Mus musculus: one gene and its partners. The protein of the gene in region 2 interacts with the protein of the main gene of each other region in a biochemical or structural test. Links are inferred from orthologs where the notes say so. Each region holds a gene or a part of one and is shown on either strand. Other genes may lie near its edges. The genes, in order: Spen, Rbpj and Notch1.

Region 1 (3,650 bases), on a different chromosome or scaffold from region 2:
GTGCTTTAATACTCTCCAATATACAATTGGCAAACTATGTCATTCTGGGCTTGGTGGACAGGCCTGTACCCTCTGCAGTCAGGAAACAACACTGACAGGCCTGGAGTGGCTGCACACAGCAGGCACTGTTTCAGAAAACAAGAAACATGTACAAACTGAACATTTCCCTCTCACACACAGAGAAATTTACTAAGAAAGGGTTTTGTTTGTTCAGGTTTGTTTTGAAACAGGCTTCCACCATGTCTTTGGTGGCCTTCAACACACAGATAATTCTGTGAGTTGTATGTAGACCAGACAGGCCTTGAACTCAAAGATCTGGCTGCCTCTGCCTTCTGAATGCTGGGATTAAAGGTTTGCAACACCATGATCAGGGCTACATTTAATATTACAGTGTACGTCCATGGTGTGAGTGTGGGGATGTGTGAATGGAGGTCAGTGGACTATTCATCAGTGGGTTCTCTCATTCACCTCTACAAGGGCTCCAGGGGTAGACTCAGGTACTACACACCTGTAATCCTAGCATTTAGAAGGCAGACCCAGGAGAGTTGAGAGTTCAAAGCCAGCCTGTGCCATATAGAGAGTGAGTTCTTGGCAACTGTGGGCTGCACAGGGCAACCCTATCTCAAAACAAACAAACAAACAAACAAACAAACAAACAAACAAAAAACCTACACATACTCTATAATCTACAATGAAATACGGCTCAGCAGTAACAGCTCCAATTCATTGGCTAGTTTCATTTACTTTCAAGATTTTAATGGTACATTTCATGGACACTACATTAATGTAGTAATTCAAATGTCTAAATTAAGATTTCTGGGGGATGGAAAGATGGCTCTGTAGTCAGGCACTGGCTGCTCTTGCAAAGGACCCAGGTTCAATTCCCAGCACCCAGTTCCAAAGGATCCAACACCTTGACTTTCCATGACTACCAGGCACAGACAGGTACACAGACATATATGCAGGCCCAAGACCCGTACAAGTACTATTCTGAAATAATTAATTTACAAAGACTTCCAGCTGTAAGAGTAACTATGTAGAAAGTGATTCAAGTGACATGCATGGGTTCTCTCTTTGGTGTTATGAGGTCCCTAACAACTTGTGTAAGGTTTCTTTCCATTTTGTTTTATAATGAAAAGCCTTGCTCCCACATCTAATATAATCCCAGCTTTGTTAGAGCTCCACTTATTAATGCAGACACTGACACTCAAGGCTTTGACAGTTACAGCTCAGCACTACATGTTCTCTACTTATGAAAATGAAAAACAAACCCAACACAACGAAAAGTTTCAGAAAGCTGGACGTGATGGTGCATGCCTACAACCCCAGCTCGGGAGGCAGAGGGAGGTGGATCTCTGAAGACAGAGAAACCCTGTCTTCAAAAAAACAAAACAAAAAATAAGATATGTAGACAAGCTGATGATATAGCTCAGAAGTGGAGCACTGTGTAGCATGCACAAAACTCTGAGCTCAATCCTAACACTAACATACATACGCATGCATGCACGCATGCACGCAATGAAGCCAGGCATGGGAGACACACTTCTGTAACCCCAGCAGAGGTGGAGGCAGAGGAACAGGAGTCTGAAGCTAGTCTTTGCTACAAAGCAGATTCAAGGCTAGCCTGGGCTTCATAAAACCCTGTCTTTAACAAACAAAAGATAAACTGAGCATGGTGGTCCCCATCTCTAACCCCAGCATTTGGGAACTGTAAGCAACAGATGTTGACTTTAAGGTTGGCCTGCTTTAAATAATAAAACTGTCTCAAAAGAATGAGTAATAACCCAACTGTTTTTGAATGCTACACACTAAGATTAGAAGGCCTTCTACACTAATCCATCTTACACAGATGCCCCTGAGTTATACCTTCATTAGTTAACAACTGACTGATGATGGCCTCAGACCTACACGGTTAGGTACACACTGAGTATTTCTCAAGAGCTGTATAATGTCCGCAGCAATCCAAGGAGAACCCCTGATACCTGTGGTGACGCTCACTTGTAACCTAGCACTCCAGAGGCGGAGGCAGGAGGACTACCCTAAGTTCAAGGGAATTCTGGACTACACAGTGAGTTCTAGACTAGCCTGTGCTACACAGTGAGATTCTGTCTCAAGAAAACAAAACAATAAAGAGCTCGTGAGCTGTTCTTAGTTGAGTGTAATTTGGGGCAGCACACTTACAACTCAGTGGGTAATGAGACAAAGAATGTCCTCTGGATTCTGGTATGATGTCTCATCTGACTGTCATTTGAGAGGACCTTAGAACTATCATGGAACTATGTGGATGTGTGGTGACGACTTTCTAGAGTAGGGAAACAGAGGTAGGAAGGTGACCCTAAATGTGGGTAGCAACTGCATTTAGGCGCTGATACACATGAGCAGCTCCCGACTGCCTCTTCCCGACCCCGAGATGGACAGCAGAACTGTGAGCCAGAGCATGCCCTTTGTCACTTACGTCACTTTCCCCACCAATGACTACAGTAACAATATGCACCTTCTATCCTCTAATTAAACACTAATCTCATGTCACGACCCTGAAGAAAGACTGGGGTGTTGGGGTATCCGTGGTCTCCTTGATGCAGTCACTGAATACTGTGCTGTCTCTCTTCTCTGCTTTTCACTTCTTTTTAAAGTTTTCGTCGTTTATGTGTGTGAATGTGTGCCATGTGTATGTGGTGTCCAGAGACCAGAAGAGGACGCAGATGCCTGCGAATGGAGTCACGGGCGGTTGGGAGCTGCCTCATGTGGGTCCTGAGAATCAACCCAGTGTCTCTGCAAGAGTAGTGATGGGGGCTCTCACACCAAGCACCCTGGGCTGTTCACTTTCACACTAACTCAGGTTCTGAGGATGATGGCTGAGCCTAGCTTAAGGCTGCCTCCAGGTCCAGGCTCTGATCCAGTAATGAGATAACCCAAAATCTGTAATAGTCACCTAAAATAGCAGATTTAATTTATGCTGGACAAAATGCAAATGACTCCCTCAAATGATATTCACATGCAGGCTAATTCTGGTCTCACTTTTACACGTCAATCACTCCCATCCTTTAGGGAAGGCTGAGTCCGCATGTGGCCTGAGCTACAATCAGATTCTTTAAGGCTTGTGTCTACAGAGTCAAACAAGACAAGCACATCTTCTCATGTTACCTGCTTCCCTCAAACCAGAATATTTAATCTAGAAAAGTATCTATTTCAAAAGGTGCGGGTTTCTCCATGGCAAAAGCACAACTCAGTACCCCACCCTTTAAAAACTAAGACATTGGGCCAGTAAATTAAGAAATGAAAGCAGACAGTGCCAAGCCCTAAGTACCACTCACAAACCGACGTGGGTGGCATGCTGCTCTGAATGAAAGTCAACTCTGCAGTCTCACCTGGTCCTACCCATGCAGTCACCTCGATCTGCATGCCGAAGAAGAGCTTCCCCTTGGATGCGGTCAATGCTTTTTCTTGGTCCTCTTGCTGCCGGAAGAACACCAGGCCGTATCTCTCCTCGGAGGCCCCGTGGATCTGCACTGACGTCACCTTGCCAAACTTCTTAAACTCATGGAAAAGGCCGTCTTTAAGGCTTGTGTCTACAGAGTCAAACAAGACAAGCACATCTTCTCATGTTACCTGCTTCCCTCAAACCAGAATATTTAATCTAGAAAAGTATC
Region 2 (3,650 bases):
TTGTCTCAAGGAAAAATCAAACAAACAAAAAGCCTTAGCAAGCCTAAGGCTCTGGATTTGACCCCAGCACCACACAGAAAAGAAACAAAACTGTCAAGGTTAAGATGGTGGCAGGAAGAGTGACAGCAGGTTCTGCTAGTTAACTGTACCCAAGGACACTGCCACAGTTTAAGAGCGGTCAGTAGCCAGTTCAAACTCCCACTAGTGCTTGACTCTGCAATTGTACAAAGGGCACCCCACATTTTCAGGTTTTGGCCTGCCTTCCAATCTCTTGACAAATTCATGGTGGATCTTGGATTCTGCATTTCGACATGTTTTAAGAAGCTGTGTAGACGCACTGTAAACAGAATAGAAAAATACAGCCACACACCACAACTGAAGAATTCCCGGTTCTAAGAAGATAAGAGGATAAAGGGACCAGCATCAACAGGGGGGAACATTCCACAGTAACGGGGGACAAGACTCCTGTACATCATATATTGAAATTGATTTACAAATTCACAAAAGAGGACTTTTAATAAAAGCAGCTGACAAAAGAACTATCAATAACATGGTAAAGCAGACAGACATATCTGTTCACACTATTCTGTGGTAGGAGTCTGACATAGAACCATAGCAAAATGCCTTTATTGTTACATTCTTGAACTTTGTAAAAAACAAACAAACAAACAAACAAACAGGAAAACTACTTATAGTCTGTTTCAATTCTTACTAAAATAAACAAAAGAACCGAAATGAGATATAAGCATTTTAAAAAGTCAAAGTTCATTTTAATAAAGCCATGAACTTGAAAACTTACTTTAAGCTACAAAGCTGGGTAAGGAAGAGTTTGTTCTTTAAAAGCATCTCATCTGTTCTCAGTTATCGACTTAACTACATCCTGAATCTAGGACCTCAGAAAGCACAACGGAACTGCAAACTGCTCAGGCTCTGAACAGATCGCAGGGGCCTGCTTCCATCGCAACTGAGGGAGAACAGTTACTGCAGAGATAGATCAGTAAGGCCACAGTGAGCTCTGCCCTGGACCACTGAGACAGCCTGGAGGGGTGAGGCGGGGCGGGGAGGAGGTGGGCTGTAGCTGATCTGAAGAGAATCGGCTAGAACAGCTGGTAAGGAGCAGCCTGGGGTGGACAGGAAGGCTGTCACCACCACATCTTACAGGTGGCCTTCCCCTTGACAAGCCAAGGAGGAGCCGTTTAAAGATGTTCGCAGTGGCACTTACAGTGGTACAGTCTTCGAGACAGCGAGTGAAAGCAGCAACGCTGGAAAGCAATGGTCCTGACAGAGGAGTCTAAGGGTCTACGTGAAAACTTTCAGAAGCCCAGAGAGCCAGAAAGACACCAGAAAATGCCATAGAAGTTACAGTCTGCATTCATAAGGTACTAGTGGCTCCTGTTTTAAGGGACAGTAAAAGCTTACCACAATCTAGAGGTAGTTTTTACTCAAGGATGATGGCATCACTAGACTGTGTCCTTTAACATCACACATGTGGTTCTTGTACTAAATGTAGCCCAATGAGTCTGCTTCAATTCCCAAGAAACTGAACAAGGAATAACCAAAGTGCAGGGATGGAAACAAAATGAATCTGGCATATTGGCACACAGGGCTGACACACAAGCCTGAATGCAAGCAAGGCTTAACTAAAAAGGGGGAAAAAAATCTGGACAGAACATTTCTACTGGGGAAAATAAACAAAGGGGCAAAGAGGAAAATGGAAATATAAGTTACATTTGTATTTTTATAAACTTACAACTATCAGTCTCTAAGGTACTGTCTTCTGGCTACTTAGTTCAGTTTATTTAGTTATCATCTAATAAAAGCCATCTTATGGTCTTTAAAATTATAATGATGTTCTGGCTAGGCTAAAAAAAAAGGAAAACATACAATAAATCATCCTGCAGAGATGTTCCTCATTTTACCCTACGGGCACCATCTTGGTAGCAAATAATTCGCATGATATTTTTTGTCATTTGCCAACAAGGTGGGAAACACCCTGTGAAATGTAATCACTGGGAACATTCCAAGTAAAGATAAAATGTTTAACTTACACATAATACAAGTTATGTACAAGATTTGGGGGAAGGGGAAACCTGAACAAATCCTGGAACACAGATGAACTGATGAACAGGCAGAGGCGCACAGCCTTCGAACGGCAGTGCTCACTGCCATGAACTCAGAAAGGGCTAAATGGCCACACGGAGCTGTTAGCATCTCTTAGATTACCACTATAAATACATTTCTTTAAAAAAAGGGAAAACACAGAAATAACTACCAACAGATTCTGAGAACAGACTCAGTTAACACACATTGCATGTATTGCAGGCAAGGCAGAGGCATTTTTAAAGCTTTTGCAGACTTCATATAATCTTAAAAAAAATATGCAGGCCTTTACAAAATTTGACTTGCTGAAATCAAAATAATTCCAACTTATGAAAAAGTCATAAGACTTCAGCTTAAAAAAGTTCCAGCCTTAGACCACAAGAACCTGGAAGTGTTCAGTGTTCAGACTGAACAAACATGGTGAGGCTCGAACCTGAATGAATGTACTTTAGAGCCAACCCTCAAAGGGTGGGGAGCGCAACCTGTTTGGTAACAAGGTGTAGTACACACTGTGATATAAAAAAGGCATGGTGAAAATGTACCTTTCACTAAAGCTTATGCGAGTCCCTTGGTCCATAAGTCTATGTTAGGTTTGTGTCTTCTAGCTTAGCCTGTGCTCCAGCCACATATCTGTTTCCTGGCCATTAAATCAAAACCAAACCAAAACAACCAAAAAGGGGTGCGTGTGAGAGGGACAGCTGAAAACCTGGATTTCCATCAGCCTGTGCATTCTGATGTTGTTCATTGTACTGTGGCCTCTGCATGTCACACCTGCACTGGCAGTTTTGAATAGATCACCTGGTACGAAACGTTTCCCCAAGAAACCACAAAAGATTGTTCACTTTATCCTTGCCTTTCTCTGTCAACTTTTTGCTGCATTCAAGTCAGTTTCAGTCCCAGCAAAAAGACGGTAGTTAGGACACCACGGTTGCTGTGGACGATGTGACACTGGTAGAATTTGTGCTGGCATTTGTGTAATTCCCCTCGCTGTTTGTGTTTGACTCATTGGAGGGCACTTGGCTGGAGTTGGCTCTGAGAATCGCTCCTGCAGCGCTGCAGTGTGGCCTCGGCCCTGGCTCTGGTGTGTAGGTGAAGGTAAGGCTGGTGGAGTAAATGACCCCGTCATTTCGGACCAAAGTCACTGGAACCTGGACTGGCTGGCGGACCCATCTCCAACCTTCCCGGAATGCAGAAATGTCTGGGACCACACAGAGCATGCTCTCTCCACATCTAAGGAGGAAACACACACCATTTAGAAGCATTTTCAAAGCAAACACAGCTCTGTATGGACAGTCTCAGGGGCTTACACCTTCCCAACCCCTGGGTGACAGAACAGGCTCTATCAGTACCTGTACATTGTTTCGGCTTCTACATCCCCAAACCACACTCTTAAATTTGGAGTAAAGTTTTGTCCTGTAAGTTCAAGCATTGCTACGTCCCCGCCGCCATTCAACTGCAATTTAGAGAAACCACATTAAGACAGATTTTCACTCTTCACTGAAGAACAGAGCTTGAGCTATAATTTCATGAAGGTTAACAAGTTCAGATTT
Region 3 (3,650 bases), on a different chromosome or scaffold from region 2:
CCACACCCTGCATGGCTTACTGGCTCAAGTTGTCAGGAAGGGGACAGTGGGGCAGGGCAGGGGAGAAGTACTCCCAAGGCCCATAAACACTACTACAGAACACTGGAGCCTGCAGACTCACGACTGGTACTGGGTAGTAGACTCTGCACATGCTGAGGACACTTCTTCAAGTCCACACTGGTGGTTACAGAAAGTGTACAAACCACATCATCTGACTTGTTTCCTGTTTTAGATACAAAACTAATCCATGAACCCAAGGTTCAAGGTCTGGGCGTGTTTCTAAACACATCTGCAAATCCCAGGTGACGCTGGGGGGAGGGGCAGTGAGTGTGGGGGAGGGGCAATTCTGGCCATGGCAGTTTCCAGCTTCCCTTCTCCTGTCACGTTCTTTTTTCTTTCTTTTCGATTTTGGAAAGAAGCAATCAATAAATAAACAGCATTTACAAATCATGAATCCTTGTTCATATTTTACAGACACACAGGGAACTTCACCCTGACCAGGAAAATCAAGGCTCTGAGAACTAGTTTATTTTCTTGGAACAGATATGTTTTTCCCTAGTGCCATAGAAAACAATACATATAAATAAAAAGGCAGTGTTTCTGTGGAAAATAAAAGTACATAAATAAATACTAAAAAAAAAAATGGAAATTCTTGTCCTCTTATTTTGTATAAAAACATTTTTTAAAAGGCTCCTTTGGTCGCCCCAGCATCCTGAAGCACTGGAAAGGACTCCCAACAGGGCTTGGGAACGGAAGCTGGGGTCCTGCATCCCACATCTCTGTTTATTTAAATGCCTCTGGAATGTGGGTGATCTGGGACGGCATGGTGGTGGGCGGGCTGGAGATGCCCTCGGACCAATCAGAGATGTTGGAATGCGGGGAGGAGCTGGACCACTGGTCAGGGGACTCAGGGGATGGGGTGAGGAAGGGGTGCTCTGGCACCTGCAGCTGGTGGCTGGGGGTGTTGTCCACAGGGGAGGAGGAGTAACTGTGCTGGGAAGGAGGGGTCAGGAACTGGGTAGTGGTCATGGGTGGGACCATGGAGGATGGCAGTGATGTGGGCAGGGCCTGGCTTTCCTGGGGCAGAATGGTGTGCACAGGCAGACTGCTGGGGCCCAGCGGTTGTACATCTGCCTGACTGGGCTCCCCACTCAAGAAGCTCCGGCCCAGGTGCCCATTGGCTGCCGAGCTCACACTGAGGTGTGGCTGTGATGGTGGCTGCAGGTTCTGAGGCTGGAGCTGTAAGTTCTGTGGCTGCACCTGCTGGGTCTGCACCAGGTGAGGCTGTGTTGCCAGCCGTGTGTTGGGCAGGCCCTGGTAAATAATCGGGGACAAGGTATTGGTGGAGAGGCTGCTGTGTAGTGGCCCCATCATGCTATGCTGGAGGCCAGCTGCCTGTGTGCTCAGTGTGCCCGGCGTCACACCCGGCCGTAGTGGGTTGTACTGGCTGGGCACCATGCCATTCTGGAGCCGGGGAAGCCACTCACACTGGCCATTCAAGCTTGCCGGTGCACCCACGGTGAAATTCATAGCCCCCGTGCCATTGGTACTCAGCACTGTGCTGGCACTGGAGGCTACAGGCAGGTGGGAGAGGCGTGGCGGGGGTGGCTCAAAGGCCAACCGGCTACCTCCAGCCAGTGCTGCCATCTCAGGCTTGGCTGCCACATTCAAGTGGCTGATGCCCAGGTGAGTGTCAGGCATACCAGGCAGGTGGCTGAGAGGCATGGATGGAGACTGCTGGAATGGGGAGGGGAGGAGGGGTGGCGAGGCCACATCTGACAAGTAGCCATGGGGTGACTCGAGGGAGTCCACAGGCGACAGCATGCTCGAGCTGTCCAACAGGCAGCCCTTGCCATCCTGGGACTTCTTCCTCCGTGCCTTGAGGTCCTTAGCTTCCTTGCTACCACAAGCCAGCCCTTTGGTGCTGGGCTTGCGGGCCTTCTTGCCCTGTGTGGCAGACTTGAGATTGCCCAGGTAGCCATTGGGCGAGCAGAGTGTGGGAGACAGAGTGGGTGTGCCACCCAGGGCAGTGCCATGCAGCTGTGGGCTGCGCACCAGGTTGTACTCATCCAAAAGCCGCACGATATCGTGGTGCATACGCTCCTGTGCGATGTCCCGCGGCAATCGGTCCATGTGATCCGTGATGTCCCGGTTGGCAAAGTGGTCCAGCAACACTTTGGCAGTCTCATAGCTGCCCTCACGGGCGGCCAGGAACAGGGGAGTCTCCTCCTGTAGGACACGGACAGGAGGTACATGAGGGAGCGGGCAGGTGTAGAATTTGCTGAGTCATTGATGATGGATGGCCTGGGGGGAGGGGCTAGGGAAGCAGGTGCTGCCTCTTTCTCTTCTCTTATCTGGAGAGATCTATCTAGACCCAAGCATCCTAGACCACCAGGCTCAGAGAGTATTTATAGTGGGGCCTTCCTATGTTGCTAGGAATCTCACTCAGGGCCCACAGCCGTACTTGGAACTCAGTATCGTCCTGCCTCAGCTTCTCGGTGCTAGCACGCACACATGGCTGGTCCCGAGTTCTTTTTTTAGAGAACCTAGATTTAACACCTCACACCCCAGAGATCTGTGGGATAAATACATAGGGCTTCTTCCCCTGTGTGGAGTCAGACTGCCGAAAACAGAATGTAACTGTGTGCCCTTTGCTTTCCTCCCCAAAATGCAGGCACAAGTACTGCAATCCTGGGACTCAGGGACCTTTAAGGCAAGTGAATGGCCATGGGGAAGGTACTACCATGCCAAAGGGTCACCAGTGGCTAGGGCATCTCAGCTCCTTCCAGGTCTGCTCTGTCCAGCAGACATAATCATACACCACAACAGAATGTCTATCAGGCTTGGATTCTCTATAACCACTGGCCCACCCTGGACTGTGGAGAACCTGTGCCCAACAGCAACTCCAGGTACCTGACTCCTGCTCCATTTCCCAGCCTGCAGTGGAGCTGGTAAGGGAGGCACAAACTCTGCCCTGTGAGCAACTAAGCAGAGTCCTGATGAAGCAACTAGCCCTGCACAAACAGAGACACTGGGAGGCGAGGTGGAGACACGCAGCCCAGCTCAGCAGTTTTCTTATCCCAAAGGAGGGAGCATGGTAGTGGTGGACCAAGCCAGAAGCCTTGCAGGCCTTAAGAGACAGGGCCACCCCATCCCTGCCCCTTGGCCAATCCTGAACCCCTAGGGTCACCACAGCCACCAGGGACAGAAGGGGACAGAAGGCAAGGCTCAAGTAACCGTGACATGGGACAGCTGCTTACGCCTCAGCTCCTCTCCAGCAAGAGCACGGGTTATTTTAGGCTGCTGTTGTCCCAGACACTCTTAAACCTCTAAGTGGTCAACGTATGGGTGCCCCGGAGTCCCCATCATGCGCCTGCGGTTAAGCAGCCCGTCTGCTTACCTTGTTGTTCTGCATGTCCTTGTTGGCTCCGTTCTTCAGGAGCACAACAGCAGCATCCACATTGTTCACCGCGGCCGCCCAATGCAAAGCCGACTTGCCTGGAAAGGAAGCAAAGAGAGGAGAGAGTGGGTTGGGGCTGAGCAGACCAGGCACTGGCTGATGTCCTCGGTAGCTGGGCTGTAGCTCGGGCCTACCTAGGTCATCCACGGCATTGACGTCAGCATGTGAGTTGATGAGGTCCTCCAGCATG

Evidence for each region.
Region 1: the proteins of Rbpj (region 2) and Spen form a complex in vitro, tested with the Homo sapiens proteins (2 studies listed by BioGRID and IntAct). The link is inferred for Mus musculus from reciprocal best matches to the Homo sapiens genes RBPJ and SPEN.
Region 3: the proteins of Rbpj (region 2) and Notch1 form a complex in vitro, tested with the Homo sapiens proteins (5 studies listed by BioGRID and IntAct, with this or other methods). The link is inferred for Mus musculus from reciprocal best matches to the Homo sapiens genes RBPJ and NOTCH1.

The regions. Positions count from the first base shown.
Region 1 is NC_000070.6:141,490,028-141,493,677, forward strand, and holds part of Spen (msx2-interacting protein), read right to left. Parts: intron 3,570-3,650; coding exon 3,369-3,569; intron 1-3,368. UniProt on the Homo sapiens protein: May serve as a nuclear matrix platform that organizes and integrates transcriptional responses. In osteoblasts, supports transcription activation: synergizes with RUNX2 to enhance FGFR2-mediated activation of the osteocalcin FGF-responsive element (OCFRE).
Region 2 is NC_000071.6:53,652,985-53,656,634, reverse strand, and holds part of Rbpj (recombining binding protein suppressor of hairless), read right to left. Parts: intron 3,554-3,650; coding exon 3,450-3,553; intron 3,331-3,449; coding exon 3,015-3,330; 3' UTR 1-3,014. UniProt on the Homo sapiens protein: Transcriptional regulator that plays a central role in Notch signaling, a signaling pathway involved in cell-cell communication that regulates a broad spectrum of cell-fate determinations.
Region 3 is NC_000068.7:26,458,748-26,462,397, forward strand, and holds part of Notch1 (neurogenic locus notch homolog protein 1 precursor), read right to left. Parts: coding exon 3,595-3,650; intron 3,499-3,594; coding exon 3,401-3,498; intron 2,230-3,400; coding exon 784-2,229; 3' UTR 1-783. UniProt on the Homo sapiens protein: Functions as a receptor for membrane-bound ligands Jagged-1 (JAG1), Jagged-2 (JAG2) and Delta-1 (DLL1) to regulate cell-fate determination.